3 linked regions of the Oryctolagus cuniculus genome follow. The protein of the gene in region 1 purifies or fractionates together with the protein of each later gene. This does not show direct contact. Links are inferred from orthologs where the notes say so. Each region holds a gene or a part of one and is shown on either strand. Other genes may lie near its edges. The genes, in order: DNAJA2, PLD2 and LLGL1.

The links.
Region 2: the proteins of DNAJA2 (region 1) and PLD2 purify together in Homo sapiens (affinity purification with mass spectrometry; 3 studies listed by BioGRID and IntAct, with this or other methods). This does not show direct contact. The link is inferred for Oryctolagus cuniculus from reciprocal best matches to the Homo sapiens genes DNAJA2 and PLD2.
Region 3: the proteins of DNAJA2 (region 1) and LLGL1 purify together in Homo sapiens (co-immunoprecipitation; 3 studies listed by BioGRID and IntAct, with this or other methods). This does not show direct contact. The link is inferred for Oryctolagus cuniculus from reciprocal best matches to the Homo sapiens genes DNAJA2 and LLGL1.

What each region holds. Positions count from the first base shown.
Region 1 is NC_091449.1:30,783,576-30,787,694, reverse strand, and holds the start of DNAJA2 (dnaJ homolog subfamily A member 2), read left to right. Parts: upstream 1-1,351; 5' UTR 1,352-1,541; coding exon 1,542-1,619; intron 1,620-3,052; coding exon 3,053-3,112; intron 3,113-3,370; coding exon 3,371-3,594; intron 3,595-4,119. UniProt on the Homo sapiens protein: Co-chaperone of Hsc70. Stimulates ATP hydrolysis and the folding of unfolded proteins mediated by HSPA1A/B (in vitro).
Region 2 is NC_091448.1:51,411,764-51,415,882, reverse strand, and holds the start of PLD2 (phospholipase D2), read left to right. Parts: upstream 1-1,326; 5' UTR 1,327-1,461; intron 1,462-1,913; coding exon 1,914-2,022; intron 2,023-2,112; coding exon 2,113-2,243; intron 2,244-2,334; coding exon 2,335-2,477; intron 2,478-2,841; coding exon 2,842-2,947; intron 2,948-3,036; coding exon 3,037-3,102; intron 3,103-3,196; coding exon 3,197-3,255; intron 3,256-3,380; coding exon 3,381-3,473; intron 3,474-3,562; coding exon 3,563-3,715; intron 3,716-4,119.
Region 3 is NC_091448.1:62,286,312-62,290,330, reverse strand, and holds part of LLGL1 (lethal(2) giant larvae protein homolog 1), read left to right. Parts: intron 1-233; coding exon 234-331; intron 332-2,214; coding exon 2,215-2,296; intron 2,297-2,388; coding exon 2,389-2,519; intron 2,520-3,714; coding exon 3,715-3,873; intron 3,874-3,952; coding exon 3,953-4,019. UniProt on the Homo sapiens protein: Cortical cytoskeleton protein found in a complex involved in maintaining cell polarity and epithelial integrity. Involved in the regulation of mitotic spindle orientation, proliferation, differentiation and tissue organization of neuroepithelial cells.

The sequences.
Region 1 (4,119 bases):
TGGAATACAGAAAAGTGAATCTCCTCTAGGGTACCCTACAGCTATCCATGGAGTTCAGATGATCCCGTCAGAATACATCATCAGGTCACACAGCAGTGTCCACAAAGGCAAAAACGAACTGTTAGTGGGAACTCAAATCAGATAGTAGAGTTCACCAGGCTGGGATTTGAGGGAAAGGGAGGGTTCTTGGGAAGAGCATCCTAACTTATCAACGACTCCCCAGGCTTTTCAGGCTAAATTTCAAAGTCCTTCGTATGGCACTCAGGACTCAGCAACTAGGTCAGGGAGAATGCCAAGGAAGAAAGGCTATCCTGAGTGAGATGCCACCAGTTCAGGTTCCAGCTGATGAGCACATCTTATTTTTCTGTCTCCACAATGGTTTGAAGGAAGGCTTTTTTAACAGTCTCCTCCAACCACCCAGGCTTCTGCTTCTGTATATCTCAACACCAAGTATATGCACAGCCAACATTGTCCGAGCTAAGCTAAGGCAAAGTTAATCAACACACATCAACCACCAGGTGAATCTCCACACAGCCAGATTGCTACACACCACAAGGCTGGTGTTGGCTATTTTAAAGCTTTTTATCAAGAGATGTAAGCACGTGATCTCGATACAATGTGTGGCCTTGGGTTTGGATGTGGACGCCACATACCAACTGCAAAACGGACATGAGACAATCAGGGAAATACACCTATGGATTGGAATTAGATAAGGGAACTGCTAATTTCATTAACTTTGTGATGATGCCTTAAAGTCTTCTCAGGTATACGTGGGGGCTATAAAAGGGTCTTAGAAAAATAGAATTAAAAGATAAGGCACATTTCCCACCAACTCTTTTTAGCCCCCTGGTATACTCAGGATACATATGAATGAAATGGTTTCTCTTAAAACACTGGGAAGTACGGACTGAGGGACCGTGCGGGGTGGGGTGGGGGGATGAAACAAAACTGGTGAAAAGCAGCTACTTTTGATGAACACTACTTTTGGAGAATGGTTGAGGATTCCCGCAATTTTGAGACACACCCCAGGGGTGCTTTTTCATTTTAAATCCCGAAGGAACCAGACCCGAGGGTCCTCCGACAATCTGGACTCTGAGACTGACGCGAGACTCTTTCCCGCCAGACCCGAGGCTAAAGTAAGGGCGACCGCGGGCCTCTTATTCATCTCGGCCCTCAGGGCTGCGTTAAACACGCGGAGCCCGCGACGCACGCCTTCCGGGGTGGGCTGAGTTCCGCGTAAAGGTCCTCCTCGTTCTCTACGTCGGAACCCCAGCACCGCCTAGCCCTGGAGCAGACGGCGAGCACACGGCCCGCTCCGCACCATTCACAACCCAACGGCTCCGGCCCAGACGCTCGGGGGCGGGCCCGCGCAGTGACGTCACGGAGCGTCGTGCGCCGGGTCAAGGTTCAGCCCCGCCCCCGCTTCCCCCTCGCTGTCTCCCTCGGCCTGCGCCGCCGCCGCCGCCGCCACTGCTCGTGGGCCCGGCTTCGCTCTGTCCGCTTCGCCCCTTTCCTAGCTCAGCGCTGCCCGGCCAGTCACCATGGCGAACGTGGCCGACACGAAGCTGTACGACATCCTGGGCGTCCCGCCGGGCGCCAGCGAGAATGAGCTGAAGAAGGTAGTAGGGAGCGGGCCGGGCCGGGCCGGGCCGGCAGGATGTGTAGGGCGCGGGGCCTGCGCCGCCGGGACGGCTGGGGCAGGCCGCGCTGCGGGGCGGCTCGCGAGCCGGCGCCGGCCGCGGTGGGTCCAGGTTGGGGAGCGGCGGCGGGACCGGCCTCGCCGCGGGCCTCGCACGCCGGCCTCGGCTGACCTTGGGCCGCCGGCCCCGCCCGCCCGCAGATGCAGCAAATAAAACTCAGCCCTGCGCAAACACGCCGAAAACCCTTCCTGCCTCCCTCCCCCGGTGAGCGCCGGAGGCCGGTGCTCCCGGGAGGCAGCAGCCTGGCCGGCCCTCCCCGCGCCGAGGTCACCAACCCCGGAAAAACAGGTTGGACCGAGGTTTCCGGCGCATCCTGACTGGAGGGAGAGGCTGTCCGTCCGCGCGGCGGGGGTCGAGGCCGCTCCCGCCGGGTGCTGGGGTGCTGGGGCTTGTTTCCTGGGCGCCGTGGCTGCCGGCCTCGGGAGCTCCTCCCTCTCTTCCTCCATCAGTCATGGACCGGGCGGGAGCGTGGGTCTGCGTTGGGATGCTTTGTTCTCTGGGCAGGTAACCTACATGTTCCGTACCCACTTCTGGAATGAACCATGGGGTCCCAGCCAAGCACCTGAGTGGACACTGCCTAAAAATAAATGGAAGGCCTCATTGCCGCCCTGTGCAGTGCTGCGCCGGCTTTCATCTCGGGATTTCAAAGCGGTTAGGGCGTTTAATTAAGCCCCACAGCATCCTCCCGGGCTTAGAGTGCCCGTATTTGTAACCTGAGAGAAACGAGAATGCTGCTCAGTGGGACGGGTACAGCTGAGAGTAAGATGGACTTCCTGTTACCTTACCGGAAATGCACGTCTGTTATATAATTCATGAGTCTGTGTGAATGGAGACCTGAGTCCCGGCCACCGAGTTGAGGATGTAGGCAAGTTTCCTGCCTCCTCGCTGTAGCCCCTAATTACCCACCAGGCAGGCCTTCCCTTGGTTTTTCCCTGTTGTGCGAGAGAGAGGAGGCTGCAGCCTTCATGGGCAGGGGTTTTTATTTTAAATTATAGTAATGTTTTGCGGTCTGTGGAGCGTACCAGTCGTTTTTCTAGAATTGATTTGAGTCTTGGTCTGGTTACTGGCCATCAAAGACATTTGACAGTGCAAATACGGGATAATATCTTAACATTTTTTCTTTTGGTGTCTTTTGCTTCAGTAGAAGCTATTTTCAAGGACAGCTACTGACTACTTTGTAACGTTAGTGAGTCAACCATGCTGAGCTGGGCAGCACATGGATAGGGGATATTTTTGGAAGGTTACCACTTCAGAATATTGCTTTTCCTAAAAGTAGATATTAAGTTAGTTATCACAAGTATTTAAACTGGTGCTTGTGTATAATCCTTTCTTAATTTTTTTTTTTTTTTAAGGCATACAGAAAATTAGCCAAGGAATACCATCCCGATAAGAATCCAAATGCTGGAGACAAAGTAAGTTACTTGGAAATTTTTCTGTTCCTGTGGTTTTCATTTTAAATTTAATTGTCCTTAGAAAAAGGATTGTTGCGGGGGAAAGTTCACCTATGCTCATAGAATAAGAGTATTTTAGTATCAAGATATGAGTACTAACATTTTGAGCAGAGGTAGAATCAAACCAAAGGGAACATGTAGCTTTTATTGAGGTTAAGTGGATTCTAGGTTTTTATAGAAATAAACCCATTTATTTTATTTTTTACTTTTTCTCTATAGTTCAAAGAAATAAGCTTTGCATATGAAGTTCTATCAAATCCCGAGAAGCGTGAATTATATGACAGATATGGAGAACAAGGGCTTCGGGAAGGTAGTGGCGGCGGTGGTGGCATGGATGACATTTTCTCTCACATTTTTGGTGGGGGATTGTTCGGCTTTATGGGCAATCAGAGTAGAAGTCGAAACGGCAGAAGAAGAGGAGAGGACATGATGCATCCACTCAAGTAAATATCTTTTCCTTTTTTTAAACAAAAAATAAAATACCCTTTTGGGTGGCATTAGAAGAGAAAAAGTATTGTAAAATGTTCATGGGGAGGTATCCATTTGCCCTACTGTCTTCATTGTCTATATGCTGTTGCAGCTCTTAAAAAGGATGCTTGGTATTTTTCCCTGAGTAGGAAGAGGGTTTGTTACGTAGTGTGGCTGCTTGTTATTAGGTGATTTAAAATTCGAAGTATAAAGATGATTTTCTTTGGAGTATTTAATTCCTCCAAGTAACTTTTTGCTTCAAAACTAAGTGAAAGCATAGTGTGTTTGCATGTTATAGTCACTCATTGCTTGATCCTCAGTGCCAGCTCTCCTAAATTGGTTTCTATGGAGTCTGCTGGCTTCCAGCCTGACATTAACCTGCCAGCATGTGAATGGTGTTTGACCTTGATCTTAGACTGCAAATCTACAAGCTTTCTATAATATGAAAATAGCTATTTCACTTTGCAAAATTTGGGCGATCTCTTACTTCATTAACTTTT
Region 2 (4,119 bases), on another chromosome or scaffold:
CCATTGTAGAATATCTGGAACTACTGAAGATTGTGGAAAACAACTTGGCGGTTTCATGTAGGTTAAACATACACTTATATAACCCAGAAACCCGACTGCTTCATTTTTGATCCAGCTCCCTGATAATGCAACTGGGAAAGCAGCAGGTAACTGCCCAAGTGCTTGGGCCCCTGCCATCCATGTGGGAGACCTATATGGATCTCCTGGCTCCTGGCTTGAGCCTGGCCCAGTCTTAGCTGTTGTGGCCATTTGGAGAGTGAACCAGTGGATAGAAGATCTATCTCTCCTTCTTGCTATTTCACTCAGCCTTTCAAATAAATTAAACCTTTTAAAAAAGTTAACTATCAAGGGCCTGACTTCGTGGCATAGAGGGTAAGGCTGCTGCCTGCAACACTGCCATCCCATCTGGGTGCCACGTCTTGTCCTGGCTGCTCCACTTTGAATTCTGCTCCCTGCTAATGGCCTGGGAAAAGCAAAGGAAGATGGCCCAAGTGCCACCTACGCGGGAGACCCTGATGAAGCTCTTGGCTTCCCCCTGGCCCAGCCCAGACCATCTGGGATCTCCCTCTCTGTTAACTCTGACTTTCAAATAAATAATATATTTTAAAAATTGAATCTAGCGTGTTGGCCATTGTAGAATACCTGGAACTACTGAAGCTTGTGGAAATGTGAAAATTGTGGAAAACGACTTGGCAGTTTCTTGTAGGTTAAACATACACTTATATGACCCAAAAACCCTACTGCTATTTACTCAAGAGAAATAAAAGCCACACAAAGACTTATACAGGAATGTTTATAGGAGTTTTATTCAGAGCAGTCAACTAGAAACAATCCAACCGTCCATCAGGAGTAGATAAAGCAACCTGCTTAGCTTAAAAAACAGAAATGTAACAAAATGTCATTTTCCCTGGACTGTCCTTGTTTAAAAGTTCAGAGTCTACCACGGAGCAGGCGCGCAATAAATGTTTGGTGAATGAATGTAAGGGTGCATTTCCCCTCATCCCCTCCTTCTACAAACGCTCTCCGGGAAAAGGAGGCACCTGCAGGTGCCCCCGCGGAAGCGCGGCCAGCCTGGGGCCCGAGGCAGCGCAGCTGGTGGAGAGGCCAGCGCGGAGGGACGCGCGCGGTTGGAGCGCACACTGGGTGGCGACCGGGTGCCCTCGGACCGAGGGCACAGCCAGGCTGGGCGAAGGCGGCCCCCGGGCGGTGGGAGGTCCCCGGTCTCGCCGGGCCGGGCCGGGCCGGGCCGGGGCGGGCCGAGGGCGGCGAGGGCGGCGGGGGCGGGACGCGCTAGGCGAGAATCCCGCGGAGGGGAGGCCGGGGCCCGTCCCGCCCCCGAGGGCAGGCCCGAGCCCCGGCCCCGCCCCGGCCCGCTGGGGTGTGGGCACCGGCTCCGGCTCGCGTTCGCCTCCGCTTCCCTCGGCTCGCGAAACCGCGCGGGCGCCGGCTGGAGCTGCCAGGGTGAGGGGGCCGGGCTGGGGGCGCCGCGGGGGTGTCGCGCCCCGGAGAGCGGGCGGGGACGAGACCGGCTGCGACCGGCGGGGGCCTCTGACTCAGCCGCACGCTCAGATTGCAGGAATCTTCTCCCGGGCAAGGAGCGCGCAACTTCCTCATTCCCGCCGGGACCCCCGCGCTCGGCCGGCCTGGCCCGGCCCGAGCCGCGTTGGCCCCGCGCTCTCTGGTTTCTGCGCTGCCCTAGTTCGGGACATCCGGGCTGGGTTGGGTGTACCCCGGGGGCTCCGGTTCGCGAGAGGGCGGAGTTGAGGGATCCTGCATCCTGGGGTAGGGGATGGAGGTTCTAGCCGCGTCACGGGGAGGTGGCCGGGCAGGAGGAGGTGAGAGGCGCAGGTGCGAGGCTGGGGGGTGGGACCTGCAGGGCTGATCGCCCCCCTGAGGCGGCCCCGCATTCCTAGATGACGGCGACCCCCAGGAGCCCCTTCTCCTCTGGGGACGACCTGGACTCCAGCCAGTTACAGATGGAGCCGGATGAGGTGGACACGCTGAGGGAGGGAGAGGACCCAGGTACTCAGGATCAAGGCCCCCGGGGGAGGGGAGCCGGGGAGGGCTGGGGCCCTCCTGGGGGCTCCAGTCTTGGACTTTGTCTCCTCCCAGCTGACCGGATGCACCCCTTTCTGGCCATCTACGACCTTCAGCCGATGAAAGCGCGCCCCTTGGTGTTCGCCCCTGGGGTCCCTGTCACAGCCCAGGTGGTGGGCACCGAAAGATACACCAGTGGATCCAAGGTGGCCAGGCAGGCCCCGGGGTGGGGGGGTGGGGTGGGCGTGGCTTTGGCCAGAGGGGAGGGGACATGGATTCAGCGACTCACATCCTCAGGTGGGAACCTGCACTCTGTATTCAGTCCGCCTGACGCACGGTGACTTTACCTGGACGACCAAGAAGAAGTTCCGTCATTTCCAGGAGCTGCACCGGGACCTCCTGAGACATAAAGTCCTGATGAGTCTGCTCCCCCTGGCCCGGTGAGGGGAGCCCAGCTGCATGGGGAGGGCAGACGCCCCTCGACCCGCGGCAGCCATTGCTCCTTTCTGTGCAGCCCACCCCCAGGCACCTCCCGGCCCCCAACTCCCCTGACCCTGGTTACTAGGAAACTTGCCCTGCTCAGCTCTCCCTGGCTGCGGTTTCGTGCCAACATCTCAGCTGGGCTGGGTGCCCAAAGTGGCCTTGGCAGCCTCTCCAATCCCAGGACAGGGAGGTCTGCCTTGTGCCAGCCCCCTGACCTCCTCCCAGACCCCAGCAGCCCAGCCTGCCAGTGCCTTTGCCCCCACCTGCGCCTCCACACCAGGCTTGGGACAGGGCCTGACCCGCACCCCATCCCTTCCGCAGCTTCGCTGTTCCCTCTTCTGTGACCCGAGAGGCCACCAACAGAGAGATGCCCTCTCTACCCCGAGCAGGTCATGAGGGCTCCAGCAGACACACAGCCAGCAAGCAGGTGCGGCAGACACCTGGTTCCCTGGGAAGGCGTCCCTCTGTGCACGTGGCTCTGGTCCCACCTGTTTCTCTTTCCCATTCCCACTTCAGAAATACCTGGAGAATTACCTCAACCGCCTCTTGACCATGTCCTTCTACCGCAACTACCACGCCATGGTGAGGTCCCCGAGGGGACGATGGGCCTGGGTCCACGGGGCCACGAGGGACCAAAGGCCAGGGGGCTCCTCTGCACTTTCGTCTTCCTCTGCAGACAGAGTTCCTGGAAGTCAGTCAGCTGTCCTTTATCCCAGACCTGGGCTCCAAAGGATTGTGAGTGTGGAACACCCCTCCCCCAGCCGTCTGCAGCCCTCACTCCCCAGCCCTTCCCGCCTGAGAACGGGGCGGGCAGGGGGCTGCAGCCCTCATCCAGCGTCTCTTCCTGGTTGTCCCCACAGGGAGGGCGTGATCCGGAAGCGCTCGGGTGGCCACCGCGTCCCTGGCCTCACCTGCTGTGGCAGAGACCAAGTTTGTTATCGCTGGTCCAAGAGGTGGGGGTGGGGACTGAGCAGCTGAGCGGGGGCTGGGGGTGAGGAAGGGGAGCTGGCGGGCAGGGAGGAACCGGAGCCCTTCCGTCCAGGTGGCTGGTAGTGAAAGACTCCTTCCTGCTGTACATGACCCTGGAGACCGGCGCCATCTCCTTTGTTCAGCTCTTCGACCCGGGCTTCGAGGTACAGGTGGGGAAGAGGAGCACAGAGGCACGGTATGGGGTGCGCATCGACACCTCCCACAGGTGAGGGCTCCCCGGGGTGAGGGGACCCAACCTGCCACCCTCAGGGGGGTTCATGCGGGGCCGGGGGACTGTGGCAGAGAGGAAGGGAAGGCTTTTCCAGTGCCTGGGATCCAAGTAGTTTTGAACCTGGGAACTGGTCCAGCCACATGCTTGGGATGCTCTTACAGTCTGGGGCCAGAGAGAGCAGCCCCTGTAAGCCGGAGCGGGGGTGGGGGGGAGGGTGGGGGGGGCGTGCTCCCAGTGGAAGAGAAGCTCCCTTCTCATTTGCTCATTTGACGAACCTGAGTGCCTGAGCCAGGGCTGCTTGCTGGGCCCCGGCCAGGAGTTAAGTGTAGCCTGGCCCCACGGAGTCCTGATTAAGGACTAAGGGAGGAAGTAGGAAAAGGCTGAAACAGGGAGGTCCT
Region 3 (4,019 bases), on another chromosome or scaffold:
GTACAGTCGCGGGGTGGGGGGGTGGGGCACTGAGGGAACCGGGGCTTGAGGTGGGTGGGCCTCAGGGCCGTGCACGCAGCAAAGTCATGTAGCATGGTGCTCCCAACCCCCCCCCTCCACCGACTGGAAGGCCTTGGGGCACGAGGAGCAGGTGAGCCTGGCTCTGGGCCCCCGTGTCGATGGCAGAGCCCGGCGGCCACCTGGGGCCTGAGCGTGCGTCCCCTCTCTCGCAGACTGTGGAGCATGGCTTCCCCAACCAGCCCAGCGCCCTGGCCTTCGACCCCGAACTCCGCATCATGGCCATCGGCACCCGGTCCGGGGCTGTCAAGATGTATCCTCCGCGGCCTGGAGGTGGGCCGGAGCCTGTTTGGGAGCACCCAGCCCTGCGGAGCCCAGCTCGGGAGCGAGGGCGAAGGCACTGAAGCCGAGTGCTGGGGTCCTGGAGCAGGCTGGGGCCTGGAGCACATCTGTGGACGCGTAGGGAGACAGGGTGATGGGGGGCGGGGTCAGTTTACAGTGGCCACAGCTGTCCCTCACTGCTTCGGTCAGCTGGTTACCTAGGCAACCCTGCCACCATCCCAGCAGCTGTGAGCAGGGTGGCCTGGCCGGTGGGGCTGGGCTGTGGTACCTGTTGAGGGTGGCAGGTGGACCGGGGGGCCCTGGCGAGTGGGCACACACACGTGGGCGAGTGTGAAGACGCATGTGTTCGGGGAGGGGGCTGGGGGCAGTGCCAGGCTGGGCATGGCGGACGCAGCAGGGCCCCCACCTGGATCCTGGCAGCCGCACAATGGGTTGTGTGAGCTGCACAAAGCCCGCATTTTCCCGGCAGGGCCCGGGCTGGGGGCAGGGTGGGGGGGGCGGTGGCCGGCTGTTGAATGCCTCCTTGCCTGCCCTGGAGAAGCCCACCCCGGCGGCCCTCAGGCAGACCGAGGTGCGGGTCTCAGGAGGGTGCCCACCCGTGCCCCTCGGCCTCATTTACCTACGTGTGGACGTTCACTGGCAGAAAACCGGGCAGTGCCTGGAAAGGGGAGGGCGTGGGATAGAAGGGTCTCAGCCCGGGCTGCTGGTGCTGGCCGGGGTTGGGGGGGGGGCGTCGGGGCCTGTGTTTTGCCAGCTCCGTGGCTGGGCTGGGGTGTCCCTTCTTCTCCCGTGGGCTGCTGCGACCCTACACCTGGCCTCGGAGCACCCACTCCCTGGCCTGCTGCTCCCGACCCTCTTGGGCGAGAGCTGCCTCCACGGGTGAGGCCTGCAGCCGAGAGGCTGTCCCAGAGCCTGGTGCTGGGCTGTCTGGCGGGGGCGGCGCGGGGGGGGTGTCCTGAGCTGCCCCTCCTGGGTGGTGTGCCTCAGGCTCACAGAGAACCTGGGGTACGATGCAGAAACCCCCTCAGAGAGGAGGCTGGAACCCTGGCTCTCTGGGCCTCCCTTCCTCCCGCTGCAGCTAGCACAGCCTGGAGCCCTTGCCTGCGGCAAACTGAGGCTGCAGGGGCTGGCCCCGGGCCCCAGGAGCCGCCCCTCCCCCTGCGAGGCGGCCCGTCTCCTTGGCGACCCTGACTCCCGCCCAGCTGCTCCTGTTCCCTCTTTTGTCCCCTCCTCTGTGTACCCTGCCAGGCTCCAACTCCAGGCAACAGCTTCTGCCTTGTTGCTGGGGCAACGTTGCTGACCCCTCCCTAAAGCCCTCCTCGGGTGGGGGGGGCTGCCGGCAGTCCTGGGCTGCTGGGCACTCGGAGTCACCGGATCCCTCCAAGGCGCTGTCTGTACCTCTGCCTAGTGGGCCGCCTGGGGCGTCGCCCCTTCCTCTTGGCTCCCTGCCCTCGAGTTTGGCCTGAAGCTGCAGGGAGAGGCAGCCTGGACTCCTCTGCCCTTGGGCTTCCTCCCCGGGCCTGGCCCTGCACCCCCGGCCTGCACCACGCGGCTCTCAGAGCCCACACAGCACACCCGCGGCTGAGATGGAGTGGAGCCGCTGCCGGGTGTGCGCCACTTCTGGGCCAGCAGCCAGAGCAAGTGGGAGTCATGGGCCCATTTTACAGATGAGGAGGTGAAGGTCCCACTAGTGGAGCTTGGGGATCCCTTGGGGGGGACAGGATGGGAGCTGCTTCGGGAAGGGGGCCCACTAGGCCTTCGGAGGACCTTGGTGGGCGGGCTCCTAAGAAGAGAAGGCCTAGGGTGCTCCCTGGTCTGTGCCTGCTGGGTTTTGCCCTTGACCGTCACTCTCAGCTACGGTGCGCCCGGCGTGGAGTTCACCGGCCTGCACCGGGACACAGCCACTGTCACCCAGATGCACTTTCTGCCGGGCCAGGTGAGCCTCTGCCCCCACCTTTGTAGCCCCCCACCCCTGTCCCACCTCGCTCCCCCCAGGCCAGCCCAGTTTCGGTCTCTGGTCCCCCCCAGGGCCGCCTCCTGACCCTGTTGGACGACAGCAGCCTGCATCTCTGGGAGATCGCCCACCATGATGGCTGCGCCCACCTGGAGGAGGCGCTCAGCTTCCAGCCACCCAGCCGGTCCGGCTTCGACGGTGCCAGGTACCGGAATACTGGGCCGCGGCCAGCTCCCGGCGGGGATTGAGGGGAGTCCCGGGGACTGTGGTGTGGGTCCGAGGCGCCCTGAGCCCGGCCTGGCCCCAGAGTGGCAGTTGATGGAGGTGTGCTCCGTGGACGTTTTGGGCCTGATGGGAGGTTGCTGTTGAACCGCAGGCGAGAGGCAGGCTGTCTGCTCCCTGACCGCGAGAGCCGCACCAGCTGCAAGTGCCAGGAAGTGCCCAGGCCTGAGGGCCGGCCCTGCCTCCCTGCCGTGGCGGGGATGTCAGGCGGTTCGGGCAAAGCTCCCCTGGCCACTTGGGTCGGGAGTGGGCAAGGAGCCTTTTGCCCATAGACGAAAGGGCTGGTTTGGGGTCGAGCAGGGTCCCGGGGGCCCACGGGATGGCCCAGGCCTGACCCTGGGGTAAAAGTATAGGGGGTTGGCCGGCGCCGCGGCTCACTAGGCTAATCCTCCGCCTTGCGGCGCCGGCACACCGGGTTCTAGTCCCGGTCGGGGCGCCGGATTCTGTCCCGGTTGCCCCTCTTCCAGGCCAGCTCTCTGCTGTGGCCAGGGAGTGCAGTGGAGGATGGCCCAGGTGCTTGGGCCCTGCACCCCATGGGAGACCAGGAAAAGCACCTGGCTCCTGGCTTCTGCCATCGGATCAGCGCGGTGCGCCGGCCACAGCGCGCCGGCCGCGGCGGCCATTGGAGGGTGAACCAACGGCAAAGGAAGCCCTTTCTCTCTGTCTCTCTCTCTCACTGTCCACTCTGCCTGTCAAAAAAAAAAAAAAAAAAAAAAAAAAAGTATAGGGGGCCTCTCCTTCCGCAGCCCTGCTGGAGTGGGGAGCCCTGACCCTCCAGCGGGGTCCTGCAGTGGGGTCCCATCCGCAGGCCTGCCCGAGGTTCCAGGTCCGGGCTTGGATTGCCTGGCCTCCCGCTGGGCAGGGGGGGCCCAGGCCTGTCTGCGAGACCGGGGGAACCTATTCTTATTCCTCTCTGCGCCGACATCCTGATGAATGATTGAGCAGGCTAATCACACCACACCGGGGCCTTCCTGGGGTGCCGGCCCGCCCCATAAGTAGGCCCCAGGCAGCAAGGAGGGTGCCTATAATGAGCGGACAGGGGCGGCCCAGCCCCCGTCACAGCCTTCCCTGGCAGGTGGACAGACCTGCCCTCACCCCTACCCCTCCCACCACTGCAGTCCCCCGCCCAGCCTCACCCGAATCACGGTGGTCCTGCTGGTGGCTGCTGGCGACACGGCGGCCTTGGGCACCGAGGGTGGCGGTGTCTTCTTCCTGGATGTACCCACCCTGACGCTGCTCGAGGGGCAGACCCTGGGTCCCGACGAGATTCTGCGCAGGTGAGAGGCGGGGAGGTGGGCCTCCCGGTTCCCGCTGGGGGCCGGAAGCCGTGCCGGCTCACCCGAGCGCTCCCTGCAGCGTGCCGGAGGACTACCGGTGCGGGAAAGCGCTCGGCCCCGTGGAGTCGCTGCAGGGACACCCTGGG